Coturnix japonica: one gene and its partner. The protein of the gene in region 2 interacts with the protein of the main gene of each other region in a biochemical or structural test. Links are inferred from orthologs where the notes say so. Each region holds a gene or a part of one and is shown on either strand. Other genes may lie near its edges.

Region 1 (10,156 bases), on a different chromosome or scaffold from region 2:
TTGAGACATCTCAAAGTAACTTTTCTTTTTCTCTGCTTAGTTATAAGTGCATACAAGTACTTCAGCACAGAAATGCTCAATTTCAGTTCATTTTCTGTAAAAGGAATAATGACAGTCAATACTATGCTTGTACAATACAGCTGAAATTCAAACTTATTTAGTAAACAAATATTGGTAGATGAGCAAGTCTACTTAAAGTATCCATGATACTTAAAATACAAATACATAATGTACAGACATATATAATCTTGATTTCGTAACTATAAGAAGGATAAGAATTCCAGTGACTTAAGCAGAAACTTTCTTCTCCCTTCTACAAAAGCTAGAAGGTCTTTCAATATATTTTAAAGCTTTCAATGAAGCACATAGTGCAAGATGATAATATTAACACAAACAGAATAGTTTTACAGATATTTTATTAGCAGTTGCCTCTCAACCCAAAAAACCTCATTTATACAAAAAAGTGAAAATTCATTTTTGTCTCATCATTTTTATTTTCACTGTACTTACTCATAAACGTTTGGTGCAGATGGAAAAAAAAAGCAATTATAAGGAATCACTGAATTACAAGGACAAACACATTTTTATTTAAGAAGAAAACCTACAGAAATCTAGATTAGCAAATTACATGATTTACTACATAACAAAAGATTATTTTAGAACTTACATGAAAAGTGGCTTTGACATACGTATGAACTGCAGCACCTGAAGAGCCCAAGTTATCAGGAGTCATTAGAGGGTTAGATGACAGCTGGCTGCCATCCTGAAGCCATTCGTTGTATCTCAGACTGGACATCTTAATTCTTTTGTTTGGATCCACTGTCAGAAGCCCTAATAGAAATATATTACATTCTCTTCACTTGTGAACTATTTGCCCTCTTTTAAGAGACAACGCATTGCTTTGATAACTAAGTCATGACAATATTTATCCCACATAGGCCAATGTTTATTCTAAATAAAGCTCACACAATGTTATGCCATCATTCACTGTAGCAGAACCATTAAAACCAAGAAATTGTTACATGTTTGATAACTCATCTCTTTTCACATGAATTCTAAAATAACAGGATTCAGTCACTTAAAACCTGTCTAGAATGAAATCCAAGAAAGCAATCCCCAGATTCTCAGCACAGTCCACTAAAATCTGAATCTGGATATGCCTACACTTTTGGCATGAAGACTCCTCCTAAGCCGGATTCTACACAGATTCACAACTTCATATTAGAATGCCTTAATTCGATGCCTAAAATGGTTAAAGGAAACACAAAGCATAGCAAATGCAAACAGAACAGCTCAGAAATACAGCAGTCTTGGCACACTTGTACAAAGACACAGTTGAAGGGAAAAGACAGTAATGCATTTATTTTCTGATAAAGCTCTACTTTTAAAATATGTATCTCACCAACAAACCTGGCATTTTCACATAACCAAAATACAACTATTTTTATTCTTTTAAAATTATTTTCAACTTTTCAAAACCTCTTCAGTTATTTCCTACCCCAGGAAATGAAAACATTAACCTTCTATTAACATCTTACTACATTAGAAAGCTATGCCCAGCATATGTAGAATTCTGAACCTCATTTTGATATGTCCGACTGTGAGCAAAACTCGTAGCTCAAGTTGTGCATTCTACTCTGTCAGGTTAGACAGCATTCAGGTAGCAGATAGTGCTATAAATGATACCTTTGGAAATAGAAAAACAAAGTATTCATGGTTACTTACCTTGAATTAACTCTTTGGCCTCTTCAGAAACATTTTTCCAAGCTTCCCCTTCAAAGGAAAATTCTCCCTTTTTTATTTTTTTCATAATTTCCAAAGCACTAGTACATGTTAAACTTTTGTCTTGAGACTGAAATGGTACCTGTCCTGATAACATCGTATACTGTCACAAGAACAAAATAATATTAACAAACAACATATTTATTGAAAACTATACATAGGCAGTTACTGCTGTTTCTACAGCATCACCAGCAGTATAAAATAGAACACTGACTAGCACATTTTCAAAGCTATAGAAAGCGCTAAACACACAAGACTATCAATTGAGCCCTTATAAGAAAAAGTATTTGTAAGTTACAGAAACCTCAGTCAAAACATGATGGTATTTGTACCAAGCTTACTTCTCTTGAAAACAGTTTTCTGTATTTTGCAGTACAGGCTGGTTCCTACTCTGAACCAAAACTCTCAGAAGACTATATGGATGCCTGTACAATCTAACAAGAATGTTTCTTTTTAAGAACCAGACTGTATTGAGTGTTTTTTTCAACTCCCAAAAATACTGAATTAAATTTACTACTTAGGAAAAAAAAAAAAAATAATCTCCACTCCCAGAAAATAACTGTTTTTGGAATCTATTATTTGAGCAGCATTACTTGAATGTACCATCTACCCAATACAAATCCAAAACTGTGCTGAATTCTTTGCATTTTACTAAACAGTAAATACGTATAATAAAATTATAAATTAAAAACCCATTCACTTACCAGAATGACTCCCAAACTCCAGAGATCGCAGGATTCATCATAACCATTGTGATTAAAGAGCTCTGGGGCAGCATAATGCAGAGTAAAACATGGAGTCTTCAGAGGCTGATTGTCAGGTGGTTTTAAACGAGCAAAGCCAAAATCAATTATTTTTATTTCTGAATTATCAGTTTCATCTGTAAACAACAAATTCTGAAAAGCAAACAATATAATTATTAGCATTAATTAGAAAATTGTTCAGAACAGCCTACTAGGTATTCTTCTACATTTATTACTACAGAACAGAACATCAAACAAAAGTAATAAAACTTGATTTCAGCTGTTCCCGAGAATTTCAGCTTTACATATGGAATACAGCATTTCAGCTTTGAAGAAAGACAAGCTGTCATCAGTTCAGGAGAAGATTTAAGATAATCTATTCTTTTCTCTGTGTGCACTTCTCAAGGGATATACAAGAGTGAGGCTTATGAAAAGTAGCTGAGGCAGAGATTAATTATTACTGATTTCTACTTCTCCTTGAACTTTTGAGAGAGCAGAGGAGAGCAAAGCTCTGCTGTTACCTTCACTGTTTGATCTCTTCAATGCTAGGAAAGCCTACAGCCATAAGTATTTTTCTAATTCAAAAGATCAATGATTGAACATGAAATAATTATTTTCAAACTCATTAATAAGAGGAGAGAAAAAAAAATCAATTCCTAGACTGCAAGAAAATCAACAAGGAGAACCTGAGAGCATTCATCATGGATAAAAGATGATATATGCTACATGCACTGTGGAAATTTCAATTTTAACAATATTGGTTTATAAAGATCTCTCTTGAGCTGAAAGTGAAATTGCTTATGTACAGAAAGAAAGATACAGTCCTAAGTTGGGTTGAGATTCCTTTATTGACTAGGTAAATAAACTGTACTTCACCAAAACCCCAAAGCTGCAGTCAACAGCACTTGCAGCTCACTGTAAGGAGACTGCTTTAGGCAGGTGGTTGCACTGAATGAACTCTAGAGCTCCCTTCCAATTCCTATAATTTTGTGGTTATGTCTTGGTATATTTTTTCCTAATATCCTTAGAGCCCAGTTCACAGATTATTGATTACTTCATGGGAAAAAAAAAATCCCTAAATCCTCTACTGATAGGTTTCAAGTGGTCACATATGCTCCATTAATTCTTCTGTAATTTCTGATTATTATTATTTTTTTTAATTCAGTACATACCCTCTATTGTGCAAAGCAATATATGTGGTCTAATTACTGCTGCTTAAACAGAAGAACCTTCCAGTCCACACTAGTAAAAAGAAGCCCCATCTTTATTGACACATAACCAGTTCCATTTTTTAAAAGCAGATTTACTAGTAACAGTTCAGATGCCAAAGCTGAACATCAAAACAAATCTGACTGGAGTTGTTAGAGCATCAGAGTTTTCTATATATCTTTTTATAGAAAGGTGCACTAACCACATCTATATTGGGAAAACTGCATATCCCATACTAAGTTCATGCCTGAATCTAAAATAGTAACTCTCAAAACAAAAAGCAGGAAGGAGAGGAAGGAGACAGGTTGGTTAAGTTCAACTCTGTAAAGGAAATGCATTCTATAAATTGTTTGCTAACCCTTCATTACTTGCACTTTCATGGCTTCTCTTCTTGAATATGATATGGAACCAAAGACTGCTTTAACTTACAACACGGCTGAAAGAAGCCCAGCTTTACAGAGTCAGGCCTTTAGATTCAAGTTGGCAATAAGAATAAAACTGGGAGAAAAGGAAGTGAAAATGGATTTCTATTTTTTGTTACTTCAACAAGGACTTGTTTCAAAAGCTGTTTGATTTCCTTGATGGTACAAGCAGAAACTTTTTCAAAAGTCATATTCCTAACTGATATATTAGAATTTCACAATAGCTCTTCTTTATTTCACTGCTTTTTCAGTACAGAGATGCTTTCAAACATAGGTTTAGCACTTAAATACCAACATCTAGAAGTTTACACTTAGAATTCTAACTACTATAAAAGGGATGCATCTGTAGAGTATTGGAATGCATGTTACAAAAAGGTGAAATGACAGCAGGAACCACAGATCATTTTTAAATCCGGATACAAATGTCGTAGCTATTTAATGATATATGCTGACTGTAATCACCAATACAATATAATGTCCTTGCTGGACAAACTAACATGAAACTACACCATCCCTAGGAGAAATTAAAAGCAAACAAAACAAAACAAAAACCACTAGAAGGAACAAACATTGTCTCTGGGAAACAGAACAAAACCAGTGGTCATCTGCATTATAGTAAACAAAACTGTCTTGAAGGCAAGATGCTGCAGCACAATACTGTTAATACTCAGAGCAATAATTCCTTAAAAATACATATGAAATAATATGATTTTTTCCTCTTCAGAAACTACTTAAGTCACTGAACACAAATCACGCATCTCCATTAGTCAGCTGTGCTAGACTGTATTTCACTTTGTGCTTAACTGGAGAATACGATGGTATCAGGGTGTAGCAGTTGCTTTCAAAAGAAGCCCCAGCAAGTGAATTAAGGTAACTAAATGAACATGAAAATGCACAAAGTAAGCAAGCAGCCCAGCTCTACTTATGAAGTGCTTCATACAGCAAGTATACTTACCCTTAGTATAAACTGTTCCCCAAATAGGTAAAGAATGTTTTCAAACATGTTATAGTGTACTTTTTCTTTCTAACAACACTCAAAATCTTTCCCAACAGTTACTTTTACCTAATAACAGAGAAATGCCTGTGGAAGGGATACCATTTTATAAAAATTAAGAAACAACTGCAGAAAAATTTAAGAGCTTAATACTGAAACATGTATAAGGAAGTCACTATACCTCAGGTTTCAGATCTCTATGGACTACTCCTACATCATGCATGTGGCTCACTGCTGAAACAAGTCTGCGCATAATATGACTGGCTTCTGTCTCACTGAAATGCTGCTTCTTCTGAATACGTTCAAGCAATTCTCCTCCTTTCAGTAATTCCATTACCAGAAAAGTGTGAAGCTAAAAACCATAGAGAAAAAGATGGGATATTAGAAATATACACATTAGCACACAATGACTGCAATTCAAATGTCTTTCAATTGAACAAATGGTATGCTTCTCAGAAAGCTTTACTGGGACCAGAAAGTGAAATCAGCATTCTCAAAAGTCAATTGGTGTTGGCCTGTGATGGCTACGAGCACTTCCTTCCCCTGAAATACAGTACCAATGTAACATTTGAAAGCCAAGAAAAGTGTGTTCAAGGGAACAGGTCAAAAAATAAAAATAAAAATCAATTTCACAGAAATATACAGGAAAGGAAATTGCACATTATTTGCATATTAAGGAGCAGAAGGATGGCTGTGTGTACAGAAAGCAGCAAGACTCCCTCAGAAGCACAATGTGTCTATTAGTTCTATTGCTAGTAGTACTTCTCAGATATCCTTCCTTGCAGTTTTTCTTTATGCCTTGAGAACAGCCAAAAGTTAGAAAGAATAAGGGTATTTTCACTAGCAAACTTTCTGTGGCTCACTAAACATAACTAAGTAACACTCTAAGGCTGGATTACTAATAAAGAATTTGATCAAAGTGACAGATTAAGTTAAAAACTGGAGTTTCTTTAGACAATTTGCAGAAATGTCAAGACCAGAAAATTTCTGGTCTTCAGAATATTGTGTTCCCAAGTAGGAAAGAATAGATAGGAATCAGAGTCCAGCACCACACAGGACCACCCAAAATTCAGACCACATGTCACAGAGCACTGTCCAGATACTTCTTGAATTCTGGCAAGCTCAGTGCTATGACCACTTCCCTGGGGAGCCTGTTCCAGTGCCTGACCATGCTCTTAGTGAAGAACCTTTTCCTAAGATCCAATCCGAATCACAGAATCATATCATAGAACAGCTTGGGATAGAAGGGACCTCAAGGACCATCAAATTCAACCTCTCTGGAAAAGACAAGGCCACCAGACACTAGATTAAGTACCCCCATCTAACCTGGCCTTAAACACCCCCAGGGACTGGGCATCCACAACCTCCCTGGTCAACCTGTGCCTAACCACTCACGAAGAAAAGAGCTTCCCTCTGACATCTAAATTTCCCTTCCTTACTTTTAAAACCATTCCCCACTGTCCTATCACTATCTGTGTAAAAAGTTGATTTCCCTCATGTTTATAAACTTCTGTTTTAAAATTTGACAAAAGCCCTAGGAAATAAGTTGTCTATGCAATAATAGTAAGCTTAACTTCTAGACACATTTGGAAAACACAAAGTAATGTGTTTGGCAAATGCTGATTATAGCTTCAAAATACCTGGTCATGATAAACTTCATGCAACTTCACTACGTTGGGGTGTCCTTCGCAGAGTTTCAGAGCTGTTATTTCTCTCTGGGTGTTTGCTTCCATCCTGAAAAAAATTAAGAAAACATTTTCCACCAATTTTACCAAGCAAGTTGCACATTCAAAGTGTAACACCTATTTTTTTTTTTTTTAATTGTTGGCTATTCAGGTGTTTGCTTTTTTTTTGTTTTTTTGTTTTTTAACATTACAACCCCTTGAATAGAATTAAAACCACATTCAAAAGAAGCTGAGCAAAATTATCCATGTAACCCTGCAAGTTAGGGCATTTAGGAAATGCCACACCCAAATCAAATGACTTTTTTGATGCAACTGCAAATTACTACAGGAAAAGCAGAAAACGTTTTACAAAACAGTTTCTATCTAAAACAAACCTTTCCCTTAGACCAGGCCAATTTGATTTCCCCTCTGATCCTACAAATATCTTTAAGCCCAGCTTTATCCTGAAGACTCAAATTAGTGCCCCAACTCTTTCCATTCATATAGAAGATGAATACTGCCACTCCTGCGTAGAAATAATAAGCTCATACTAGAAAAAAAATAAAACCTGTAACATGGTCTGTATAGAAGCTACGCAATACAAAGGAAATCCTAAACAGATGACTATAAAAATATGAAATAGAAGAAATAAGAGTCTTGCTCCAAAGTAAAAAATGATCTCACAATTTCCTTTGAAGTTCTTAAGTATCCATAGTCAAAAAATTTCAGCATGTTGAACACTACAACAACCCACATGAATAGTGACTGCGGAGAACACCACTTTGTTTTCCTTTAAATAGACACAATGACAATTTTAGGGCAAAAAAAGACATGAATATTTTTGTCAAAACTCTCTCCTTCTGAGTAAGAAAGGTTGGTCCTGTACTAACTTAGGGAATGGCCGAATAGATAACACAGGTAGCATCTCTCTCACCACACATTCTGCATTTCTGGTTGCATAAATGGTTCTGTGTTGTTGTTGTTATTTAATTAGGGTCAGAACCACAATGAGAATTTTGTACAGAAAAATTCTGTCTTTCTGCAGGCTGCAGAAAATCAAGAAGTAAACTAAGCTGTTTCACTTGTATCTCTGTTGATTTTCTTGTTTAAACTGGAAGTGATTTCAGGTCCTTGGCAAATTCAAAAACCATCTTAGATAATCGTTCCCTCCTAGGAACTACTAGGAGAAGGTGGATCTAGGAAACAGGCTAAAAGGGCTCAATGTAAAGTAAACAAATCTTTGAAATATGTGCCTGGACTTTTCTGAGTGTTTCCTTTCTATAAATGGTTTGCATCTCAGTTTTGTAGACAGACAGCATTATGAAAAAGAAATGGAAGCTCTGAAACAGTAACTCAGGGAAGCTTACAGGACCCTGCTGTTTCACTGGGGTTCAAGACAAACAGAAAAAAACATTAAAATGTTGGATAGGTCCAGCTGTACTAACAAAGCATGACCACTGAGGAATTATTCATTTTAGCCTTCATCCCAAGTACCTTGAATAGATTTGCCTAGGTGTAGGATTCAGGTTGTGTGTATCTTTGATGGACAGGAGTATAAGACTGTCTGACTTTAAGGCAAAGAAGTTATTAGAAACCTACTACACTTCTATCAGCAAGAGCTACTGTGTTTTTGAGAGCAATGTTATTTACAGTTTAACAGTTTCTTTTTCAAGGCTGGTTTGTGTCTTGTCATTTGGAGAACAGATTCACTGCTACCTCTAGAAACTACATAAACATGCTCTGCATCTGCTCACAGACTGCAACCCTGAAAAATGTTTGTACACAGACCACTCCTTACCTTCATTTAGCCTGGTCCACCAAGATGAAGGAAAAAGAGCAAAAGAACCTGTGAGTAACATCATTTAGGGATGTCATTCCTAAAAGTCTAGGCCTATGTGAAAAGTCAGTACTGATTCGATCATTGTTATCCAAAATCAATACTTCCATTATTTTAGGTGGATTTTTCCTTAAGATTAAGGAAGTGCTTCCTTACGATTAAGGAAATACTTTCCTTCAGAAGTACTGATCAGCAGCTCTGCATGCACCACAGAAAAAAAATTCTAAGTGCAGATTTATGATAGAAATTCAGATTAAAATATCCAATCTAGGTGTCTACTGCACGTATGAAGTCCCAACGTATCAAGAGAAATTCTGGTTAATGAAGCTTTCAGGGTGAACTATCCCACTCCAAAATATGCACTTCAAACAGGATTCAGTTGCCAAAGCATAGGAGAGCCTGGAAGATATCTACATAAAGATAGCAGTCACAAGACTGACTCAAACTGGAGGACTCACAGGACACCATTAGATTCTAAAATGGCACTGCATCAATACCTGTGTTTAGGTAAATTAATTCCACAATTGCCACCTGGTCATTTGAATCTCTCTGTATAGACCCCATTAACAGTTTTGATGATGTCACCACTAATCATAGCAGACCTCAAAACTGGCCCTCTTACACTTATCCCATGCAAAAAGAATGTGATCAAATGCTTAAGTCTAGTGGACATTTAATTCTATTCTCTGGAAAAGCACAGGTACAGTCAAATGCAAAGGACAAATAGACCACAATGAACTATCAATCTGTGAGTGGAATATCTGCACATTTCCCTTGTCTTTTCTGCCAGCACTGTACACCATGCTGGAACATATTTAACAATGAATACTGAGCAAAATGAAGCTAAAAGTATAGTCAGCCCCCGAAGAACCCCTTACTTCCCTCTGGGCAGAAAATGCCAGAGGCATCTACTCTGGAAGAAGCTCAGATGGAATCCATGAGCAAAGTCAATCAGCTGTCTCCACTGAAATGCTGCCTTCAGAGCATCCAGGAAACAGATGTAAAGCAAAACTCTACATTCTAATTATATTTTACACAGATTCATATTCAAATTAATTAGACCTACATATACTGCACATACTTTACAAAAACAACATCCTAGGCAAATCAGTTGAGTTGTCTAAGAAAGGGAGCTACCATAAACCTACACTTAGTTCTCTTAGTTCTAAAGACTGGAGGACCTTATATCCTTATCTGGTTTGGAGCAAAATTAGGGGTAGAACATAAGTACGAACCAGGAAAAAGCCCTTCTTCTTGCGTCCTCCCCAACAACAACAATATTTTCTTTCCAAAAACTCTCAGAATTTTTTAAAGGTCATAAAGTTACTACACATTTCTGTAGATACTGCAGAGGTATGTCAAAGAGAAAATTATTTTCAAGTTAATTTTCCACCTTCAAAAACGTAGCGAGCATTATTCTAATCCATGGGTGACAGTAAGCAAAGAAAATATTTTTATTGTCTTATAGAATATTTATACCTTTTGCTAATTATTTTTACTGCATA
Region 2 (10,171 bases):
GGGATACAGTTGTCCTCCTCTTTCCTACAGTCTCACAGTAAGTTTTCACCAGTGCTGATACAGTCACCAACCGACTCAGCTCAGTCACGCAGAAGAAAACTGACCTGACAACGGTTTTCTCCCACGTTGGTGATTTGAACAGGCTCGTTAAATTGTACAACCAACAGTACAGCAGCCTGCACCAGGGATGGGCAAACACCACGCAACCAGGAGCAGAAAAAAGGGAAGGAGTAAGATGTCTGTCTGTTGAGAGCCACATACAGTAGTGTCAGCTCAGACAAAATGAGGGCAGCAGGCTCCTGCTGGTACCACACTGCAGTGTTTCTGCACACTGCCCTTTTCCACGCCTTCCCTCCCTCAGTATTGCCCAGAATGCTCCTATCAGTACAGAAGAGAATAATTTGGATGAGTCTCATAAGGAGCAGAAGCCCTACTTTTGTCTAATGCTCTCCACAACATATGAAGGCTTTAATTTACAAACCCTGCGTATATTCCAAGTCTCTTGGAGGAGTGGACAGGCACCAGCAGAGTTTGAGACGGGGCCAACTGTACAGAGCCAGAGAAAGAGCCATCAGGGAAAAGCAAGAAAATATTGCTTCCCATCTATCATTCTAAGGGGTATAAAAGATCAGTTGGATGGGAAGAGATTCCACATTCATCTCTTGGAAGGGTACAAGGGAAAGACTGATTTTTGAATAGTGGTAAAGAATGAGAAGGAGTGGGGCAGTATCTACCAGAAAAATACATGCAATACTCGAGCCAAAACACAACAGCAGGTTGTGCTGTATCTGGAGAGATGGTTAAAAAGATTGCAGCAAGGCACTGCAGAGAACAGGGACGGGAGGTTAGGAGTTAGAGCAGAGAAACAACAAAGAACAGCGCAGAGGAAGTGAACACAATAGTTGCTAAACATGTGGAAGGTGCTTAAGCAAAGTAAATAAGTGGTGTAACAAACCGTACGTGTACACGGTATTAAAGTCTGGGAGCAGCTGCAGCCCATGTTCATTCACTCCTACTATCTTACACATATAAAAACTTAAACTTAGTGAAGCGATCAAGTGCTGCAGCAAAAAGAACGAGATCCATGTGATCCAACTTGGCTATAAATACAGCAATAATCTGAGAATTTTGTGCAGGCTGCACTTTCCCATCTGGCAGAACTGCTGCTCAAGCTGCCCCTCCTGCTTCTCCCAGTCCCATCCATTCCCTGATGTGCTGGCACAGCCACCATGCAGCCCTGCAGCAACTAGGGCAGGGTGCTGGCATGGGGAAATACAACCCAGCCTGACAGAAGAGGAAAACACGACCCAGACTTACAGTTCTTCCAAGTGTGGGAGAAAAAGGTTTTACTGACAGCTTCCCTGACCAACCAGGCTGCCACCGGGACAGCACTCACAGGACCAAAGGCTTTTGTACACATCACTTCAAGTCTCTTCTCCAAAAAGTGTGAAAACCTCAAGGGCAGACATTTGAGTTTCATGCTCCTGCACGAAGGCAGCTTTAAAATAGCACGCTGTAAGGTCTTCACAGCTTTACCTAGAGTAGCTAGTGCTGCCTGGAGTGAGTGACGGGAACAGAAGAGCAACTGGAAGGACTCTCGCATCTCTGGAACTGTTGTTACATTGTAACAAAACAACATTGTAACAAAACATTGCAACAAAAAAACCCAAATCTCAAAACATTCTCATGTAAGCTTATAATCTTAGGGCACGTCTCTTCAGGGGTGAAAGAAGTCCTTGAGCTATGCATTTTGCTTAGAATCACTGAGGCTAACAGGCGTCTGTACTGCTTTAAAACTACATGTATGTACGTTTATAAAGCACACAGAGTAACAGAGCTCCTCAAAATGCTTTACTCAAAATGTGGATTCTCTGGACTCTGTGGTGCCAGAAAGCGATGGCAGCAGCATGACATGAGCAAATCCCTGTTTGCAAATGCTGCTCTACCTGGCAAAGCCCAGAGAGCAAGCAGAGCCAGGGGCATCTCATCTGCACAGCTCACACGGCAGTTCTAGAAGCACGCAAAACCAGAAAGTGTTGTGCTTCTTCTCACCTTTCTAACCACGGTGCTACCAAACAACAGACAAGTTTTGAAGAATAAAATAGGTGTCAGTGCCTCAGTGCTGGGAGAAGTGCAAAGAAAATCACTAACCACGAGGTGGTCAGGTCTGCATCATCACCGTGAAGTGTGACAGCACAGACTGCAGATGAGGCCACACCATTCTTGAATTAGAGAAAAACCAGGGCACTAACATGAACCTCCATCTGCAAGCAGGCAAGGAAGCAGAGAGCTCCAGCCCAACTCAGCAGGGCTGTTTCTCTTGCTGAGGGTTACTGTCTGTGTGGGAAACTGGTCATCACAGCCTGAACCTCTGATTAACCAGCTGAGGCAAGTGTCAGGTCAGCTGTGGGAACACAGGTGAAGGTAATTCAGTTGTGCTCCCCGAAGGGGTGGAGATTGATTCCACCTCTCCTAGACCTCATTTAAGGGCTGACCACCACTAAGGCAGCATCTCTTGGAGATTGCTCCCCTGTGGAGATTGGATAACCAGCCTATTTTCCAGCCAGACTGAAGGCATCTGTATTGGTGAGTTTTTCCTATAGATAACCTTTTGGATATCTGTCACTATCCCTCTTGTATTATTACCATCTTTGTATTATTTCTACCTTACAACCACCATCCTTATATTATTCTCACACTGTCTTTTTAATGAAACTGATGATGAGCAGAAAGCTGGCAAGGCCTTCTCACTGCAGCAAAGCCTTTAGAAGCATGGCATGAGTAACCCATCTCCACTTGCTAAGAGATCCAAAAATAGAGGCGAGGTGTGAATATCCTATTTGTTGCACTAGGGTGTCAATAGAAATTCCCCATCAGGGCCTCATCTACTATCAAAGCCTGCACATGGGTAAGAAGTGCTCACCTCTGAGCACAGCCCGACTGCTACTTTCCAGAATATTGTATATTGGGTCTCAGGACCAGCAGTAGCTGCACCAGCTCACGCTCCCATAGAAGGGGTAGACTGATGACTTGACAACCTAAATTAGATGCTTCTAAATTTTCTCTATCAACAGATCATTCTTCCCTGTCAGATCATCCCTTGCACCCAGGGCAGCAGGCACCTCATCACCAAAGCCATGGGGGAGAATCAGATGCAGACAGCTCATGGGAGATCCAGATATAACACAGGAGATCCAGATATAAAGGTGGGAGAAATAGTTTTAACATTTATACTCTATCAATGAAATATTAAACATTATTATGTTCTTCTTTCCTGCACTTAAATATCTGACCCTGAGTCACCTGACAGTGATACGTAGCAAACACAACCTCCTGTCTGCTGCTCTTCCCAACCTGACCTGTGAGGATATAGAGCTCGTGTGGGTGCAGTGTATGGGTTAGAAAACGTGGATCTGAGAGTCCTCTGCTGTTATGAAACAGCATGTTTAGGGGACAAAGTGCTGTGTTTCTGAAGCTACAGAAAGTACTACGCAAGGATTTACTGTCACATTGTTGTATTTAAAATGAAGTGCGTATTCCAGCAAACCAAGAATTAATGAAATACACCAGCCACTACAAATCATTTAATCACCACCAATTGCTCCACTGCCCGCCAACACCCACAGATGCGCATTGTTCAGTTATGGCTTTAGGAACCCTCTATTATAGAGTGGGAAGAGATGTGGAACACCCTTGGCGTTTATGTTGACAGTGGTGGAAGTGACAGAACACATTGATTTGCACAGAAGGAAGGACAGGCTGTCCATGTGCTTCTGTGAATCACTAATATCCGTCTTGACCAAAAACCTGTTTTGGTGACTTAAATTTTGCTTTAAAAAACCAAAGCAAACATCTTTGCTGGTGGTGGGGAAGGGACCGAGTACAGGTGCTGAATTTCTAAGGAGTGCTTGGTGCTCACGGTGGATCTGCAGTTGCTTAATGACCCTAGGTCAGTTTCTAGTCCTTTATTTAAGAAACAGGAAAATTGTTTCTAACCCCAGGAAGAGCTGCTTTTCACAACAGTGTTACTCCAGAAGCATTGCAATGCTTAAAAGGGAGAATTAAAAAATAAAAATCTGGAATTAAAAGCCATATGGTCTGCAAAAATAAAATATATGTATCTCCTTGTGTATGACTGGGAGGCGTAATAACCTTCGGTTGAAAAACATTTTTAATAAGATCCGCTTGCCACGTCACTTGGACTTATTGCCGTGCACAGAGATGCGGTTATCCAGGTTTGGAAGCGGGAATCGAGTCCTCTGTCCTAGGGAACGAGGCGGGAACGGCCCGCAGCTGCGGCACCGGCGGCGGTTGAGCCGGCGTGGCGTGGGAAGGCGCCGTCGTTGACATTTGCCATTAAGGTACGGACAGAGGTCGGATCCCGCCGGTCGTGCGGCACCCGGAGCCGCGGGGCGCCGGCACCGGCGGCTCCGAGCGGAGACCGACCGCCTCGGCCGGAATCGGGTTCGCCGCGGGTTAAAAATACCGCCGGAGCGCCCGGCTCCGCTCGGAGGCGTCGGGTGCCGGCGCGGGGCCTCCTGCGGGCGGGCCGGGCTCGGGCCGCGCCGGCGCCCCGCGGGACGCGGCTGTCGGCCGGCGGCTTAAGGGAGCGGGGCCCCGGCCCGGCCGGGGGAGGAAGAGCGGGGCAGCGCCGCCAGCGCCCGGCGGCGGCGGAGGGGCGTCCCGCAGCACGGGCGAGCGGCCGATCCGCGCCCCCCGTCCTCGTCCTCCCGCCGCGGGGCCGGGGCCCTCCCCGCCGCGCCGAGCGCCGCCGCTGGCTGCCGCCGGAGTGGCCCGGCCGAGCGGCCGCCGCCGGGGCCGGCTCCGATCCGCCATTATCCTTTGTTCGCGGCGCGGCGGCGGCGGGGACGGTGCGGGGCTCGGCTCCATCTTTAAGGCGGGCGCCCCTCCCGCGGGCGGTGCGAGGCCGGGCTCCCCGCGTCCCGCCGCCCGCCGGCCGCCCCGGTCCCCGCCGGGCTCCGTTTCCTTCCCTCCCCCCCGCCCCTGTTCGCTGGGCGCCGTCCTCCTCTTACCGGTTGCGGGCTGCTCCGTCACTGCTTTCGTTCGCGCCTGGGATCTCGCCGCAGTTTTATTCTCTCCCCCACGTAACACACCGCGTCAAACTACACCTCCGCCGCGTCACTCACACACACACAGGCGCTCCCAGCCCGGCGACAGGCAGGCAGCGGCCGACTGAGGAGCGCCAGCCAGGGAGCAAGCGCCGAGCGCAACGCGGCCCGCACGGAAACCGCCGAGCGCTCACGGAAACCGCCGAACGCGCGGCGGGCGGCGGGAACGGCCGAGCGCGCCGCCGGCCTCCTCGGAAAGAGCCGAGCGGGCGCGGAAACGAACGAAGCGGCCCGGAGGGGTGGCGGAAAGAGCCGAGCGGCCGCGGGAAGGCGCGAACCGCGCTTCCGCCCCAGGCGGCCCGCGGGGCGGGTGGCGTTGGCCGCCAATAGACCGGGGGCAGAGCCGGGCAGAGCGGGGCAGAGCGGGGCAGGCGCCGGGCAGGGAAGGCGCAAAGCGGAGAGACGGCAGCATCGGCCGGGCGGCGTCTGCACCGGGCTGCACCAGGGACGGGCCGAGTCACACGGCTCCTGCGGGCACGGAACGGGCAGCACGCTGCCACGGGAGGCTCCAACAGGAGCCGGTGCCGCCCCGGGGCATCTCCAGCACCGTCCTGTCGGGCCCACAGGGCGCACCTTGTCCCGCAGCAAGGAGAGCCAACTTCACCTGCTCCTTCTGCACGATAAAAACACAGCGCAGTCTCGTATAAAGCGCTTTTATCTCTCGAAACCTCAAGATGGCACTGCACAACAAGGTTTGGAGCTCTGTGCCTGGTACATCCCCAGCAGACAGCACGGTGCGTGCCGGCTCTGCCCATCAGCAGCACCGGGCTCCTGAGCAGCCTCGTGTCCTCAGGAAAGCCAAATAAATGGGTTTCAGTTGGACCGTGTCGTGTAAATCCATCCCAAATTAAAAGGCGGTGCAGGGAACGATTGCAGGTTACTCTGTTTCTGTTGATTATAGTTATTCTAAATGAAAATGAAATAAGCCAGAATTGACTTATTTTAAAAAGGGAGGTCAGGTTAAACTGACAGCACGTTGCTAATAACCCCATAATACAGCCTGGGCCACATCTCATTTTCCACTCCCGTTGCACTTGTCCCCTTTGTCCTGTCTGCAGGTGAGGAGCTTCAAGGCTGTGAGAACCTATGTGAGAAAACGCCTACGATGAGCGGAACAGACTCAGTGCTCTGAGTGTCTCCTTTCAATTACTGCATTTCTTTATCTCTTTTCCCAATCCTCTTCCCTCCTCGTGTTGATCTTGGTGCTACATCATCTTTCTTTGCTCCCTGGTGGATGTTCTCTACACATGCCAGTTTCCCAGACCTGCCTTTCTCACTGTGGGGCAGCAACCTTGAAGGATCACAGCAGAAAACCTTCAACAATAAATTCCAGCCTTTGAAAAGCAACCAAAAGGCACGGACCAGGCCTCAGACAGTGTCTCCTACAAGAAGCCCCAGCTGCACGCTAAGCCAGAGCAGCAGCAGTGCTGCTGATAGGACTGGGTTATAGCTGGGCCCTGAGCTATATACACAGGCGGGCAGCTCCTTGCACAGCTCTGATCCTGCTGCCCATTTAAGGTCTGGATGATCCTCTGGCAGTCCCACTGGCCATTCCCAACCCTGCACTCACTTGGGGCTTTCAGCAGCACTTCTCAATGTCCACCAGCTCAGCTGCAAAGGGCATCTTGCAGCAGTGGCTGCTCCTTTGCCAGCCAGCATAGACTCCTCATTGCACAGATAGCTCGAGTGCAGTTTATCTCAAACTAAAACAGATGCCTCGGGTAGGTCACATGCCTGGAGTCATTTGAGATTGTGCCAATGTTATGTTTCTGTGGTATTTTCATCTCTTGCCCATGGCTGAGGCTAAGACCATATGTGGACTGGAGCTGGCTTCAGCCCTGACTCACGCCGATTCAGAGGCAAGGCTGGGAGAACATCTCGTGTGCAGCTGCTCTGAAACTTTCTGGCAGCTGTTTTGCACATTCTTCTTTCCCTTCCAGGGTATTTGTTTTTCTCCTCTCAGTCAGCATCCTGACCAAAATCAGGACACTAAGTAAAACTGGAACTTCTTCAGGAGTGGGAGTCTGAGCCACAAAAACCCTTTCCTTCACTAGCATCTCTGCATTCCTTTCACTGTGGTCTCTTGGGGAATTTGGATAAAATGGGATGGTAATGATGTACCAATTACCCACAGATTCCAAATGGGAGAGGTTGACTTGCGGAGCAAACTGGAGAGCTCAGCAGTTTTCTTCATCAGTGAAAGTTTGCTTGATGATGAGTGAAACCCAGCAAGATTAATTACTTTTCTTACAGTTAAGCCTCAGGGGCAAATTCATTAGCTCTGCAGCTGCCAGCCTGATTATCCTGGGCAGTGGTTCCTTGTGCATGGCTTTGCAGGTTGATTGCCCCCGGCCCAGGGTCTGTGGAGGCTGAGGGGTGGCACAGAGATCCAGAAAGGTTGGCACCTGGCTGCGAGGTGTGGCAGACCACAAATGGCAATCTGGAGTAGTCAGAAGTGCTGACGCTGGTGACACACAAGGCAATATTTATTGTGGTAATACAGAGAAATGTACATTTTAAGCGGTCCAGTCAACACACCACTGAGCAGAATGCAACACAAAGATAGTTTCTGAAGCCACCTCAGGGACTGATTTATAGCAAAATCATCTTTCAACATCACATATTCACTGCCAGTTTCCATAGGACCGCTGTGGTCTGGCAGTGCAGGAGCTGAGAGAGGGTGTTTTGTATGTGTATGACTTAACGTACAGCACAAGTATTTCTGGGGAGAAAAGAAGGTAAGCTGTGCTCCAGGGCCTCACAACCGTGTTCACTAAGGGATATTCTCCTAAGGAAATAAAGAGACAGAAGCAGATTGTTTGCAAGTAATGCATGTGGAGGGAGGCAGATGTTACATTGGATGGTTAGCAAAGTGTCCAGGACGTTTCAGTATAAGAAGCATTGCATTGCTCTAGTTTTGAAACAGATACAGAGGGAGGCAGGAATACCTCCATGTCTCCGTGATGGCCGTTGCAGTTCATAGCAGACTGACCCAGCGGTGACTGGTAGGGCAGAAAATGAAAGATGCTTTTCTGAAACCGAATGGCAAGTCCTCCATTTTGGTCTCTGCATCTGAGATGGATGGAGGCTTAGCTACAAACTCCCATGCAGAGCAGTCTTCAATCATTTTATAGGCTCTCAGAACCAGCTAAAACTGCTTACTCATCAGGATGAGAACAAAACCCTACAGGTTTAGTACCTGCCAGGGATAAGAAGATTCACTGGGCTCCCTGAGCACTTTATTACAAAAGTAGGTCTAAATTCATAGGTACCTTAGAACAAAGTAACCAAAAATAGAAATGGTTTTCCAGCATCGCCCCCCTTAAAGTTAATGAACTGCAACTCAGGTCTGCCCTCCCTGCTCTTGGACATTAATCATTGCTAAAAGCAATAAATCTAGGCCAAATACAGGCTTTACAAGCAGGCAGTTTACATGCTCAATTAGCCCAAGGAAACTGGTGACTTGGCTTAACCCCCATTGTTAGAAATACAGAATCCTGCTGCTGCATCAGTCACGTTTTTCCTGTGAACGCAGCAGCCCAGGAAGGGAAATCCCTGTCCCTTGGTGGGAACATGCTACTTCCTTTTCTGCAAGGCTGCATCCTTTGCCCTTATCTCAGTGCCACTCAGTGACACAGAAGAGGTGGGATTTGGGGTGCAGCACTGAAGGTGCAGGCATGCTCTGTGCTGTTTTCCTTGCTTTGGGACCAACAGGGAAATGGTCTGACAGCACCTTGGTTATCGGTGCCATTGCACTGATAGCAACTCCCTTGTGCCAGAACATGGTGACATTTTTCTTATCTATTTGCTCTTCTACCACATACTTTATAATTTGTGGGTATGCCCCAAACCATTCTGGTGCTTTAAGAACTACAAAACCTGATTAATGATATTGGCAGCACTTTACTAAAGAATCAGGCACAGCAAATGTAAAGAGGACAGTTCTGCAGCTGAGATACCACGTGCTGGGATGTGGCTGCAGGGTGAGCAAGGCCAGCCCAGGGCAGGTAGAGGTCTCTCGGTGGGAACTTTTCCTTCCCTGTGGAAAATGGAATTTATCTGTGACACATGGAGGAAAAAATTGATATAGAAGGCCAGGTGGAAGTCAGTGCTGAAAAGAAAAAACACACTAAATCCAGTAACTGCTTTCAGACTGAAAATGGGGCAATGGGGGAGAAATTTTCAGGGAATAATTTTGGGAAATACCCTCTGAGATTTGGCCAGCTGTAGCTCCAAGTGCCTGCATTGTAGCCTGAAGTTGGCTGCCAGGGATAATCACTGTGATGGTAAATACTGTGTTTCTATCAGCACAGCCTGCTGGTTCAGAGTCAGCTCCCATCATACAGAAAACATTCTTTAGAGTGATTTCCATACCTTGAAAAATTTAAAATAAATCTTACACCTCTCTAAATGTCTTTCTGTCATAGGAGAGCCTAGCAAACATTCATCTGATGAATAGTTTTGGTGGTGGCAGGAACCTGGGACTGCATGTGTGTGGTGTTTGATTTCAAGATCAAGATCTCATCATCTCACTTTAGCTAATGTCTGTGTATGCTGAGCTGATCCAGTTTCCAGCATGCCCATCTACTATAAAGTTGAGTTGCTGGAGCTGTGGGAAGAAGGGGGAGGTTTTTGGGAAAACACTGGTAGAAACACTTGGAGGGTAGGAACTGATTGGAGTGTAGGCTGTTTGGAACAAAACAGGTAACAAAGAAGGCAGAAGAGCAGAGGAAAGGTTAATGTTGACCTCCTTAGTTTTCCATTGCAAGTTGTATGGGAAATTGGTAATCACAGCCTGAACCTCTGATTAATCAGCTGAGGCAAGTGTTGGGTCAGCTGTGGGAGCACAGGTGAGAGTAATTTAGCTGTGCTTCCAGGAGCAGTGGAGCTTGACTCCACCTCCTCTAGACCTCATTTAAGGGCTGACCACCACTAAGGCAGCATCTCTTGCAGATTGCTCCTTGGTGGAGATTGCCTTAGTGGTTCTCAGCAGACTGAAGGCTTCCATACAGGTGAGTTTTTCTTGTAAATAACCTTTTGGG

What was found. The genes of interacting proteins can lie anywhere in the genome.
Region 1: of the proteins of CREB1 (region 2) and RPS6KA5, one has a biochemical effect on the other in vitro, tested with the Homo sapiens proteins (3 studies listed by BioGRID, with this or other methods). The link is inferred for Coturnix japonica from reciprocal best matches to the Homo sapiens genes CREB1 and RPS6KA5.

What each region holds. Positions count from the first base shown.
Region 1 is NC_029520.1:40,021,971-40,032,126, forward strand, and holds part of RPS6KA5 (ribosomal protein S6 kinase alpha-5), read right to left. Parts: coding exon 10,131-10,156; intron 6,885-10,130; coding exon 6,791-6,884; intron 5,503-6,790; coding exon 5,332-5,502; intron 2,679-5,331; coding exon 2,487-2,678; intron 1,886-2,486; coding exon 1,726-1,885; intron 832-1,725; coding exon 668-831; intron 1-667. UniProt on the Homo sapiens protein: Serine/threonine-protein kinase that is required for the mitogen or stress-induced phosphorylation of the transcription factors CREB1 and ATF1 and for the regulation of the transcription factors RELA, STAT3 and ETV1/ER81, and that contributes to gene activation by histone phosphorylation and functions in the regulation of inflammatory genes.
Region 2 is NC_029522.1:10,659,196-10,669,366, forward strand, and holds the start of CREB1 (cyclic AMP-responsive element-binding protein 1), read right to left. Parts: upstream 5,253-10,171; 5' UTR 5,034-5,252; intron 1,132-5,033; exon of another isoform or gene 1-1,131.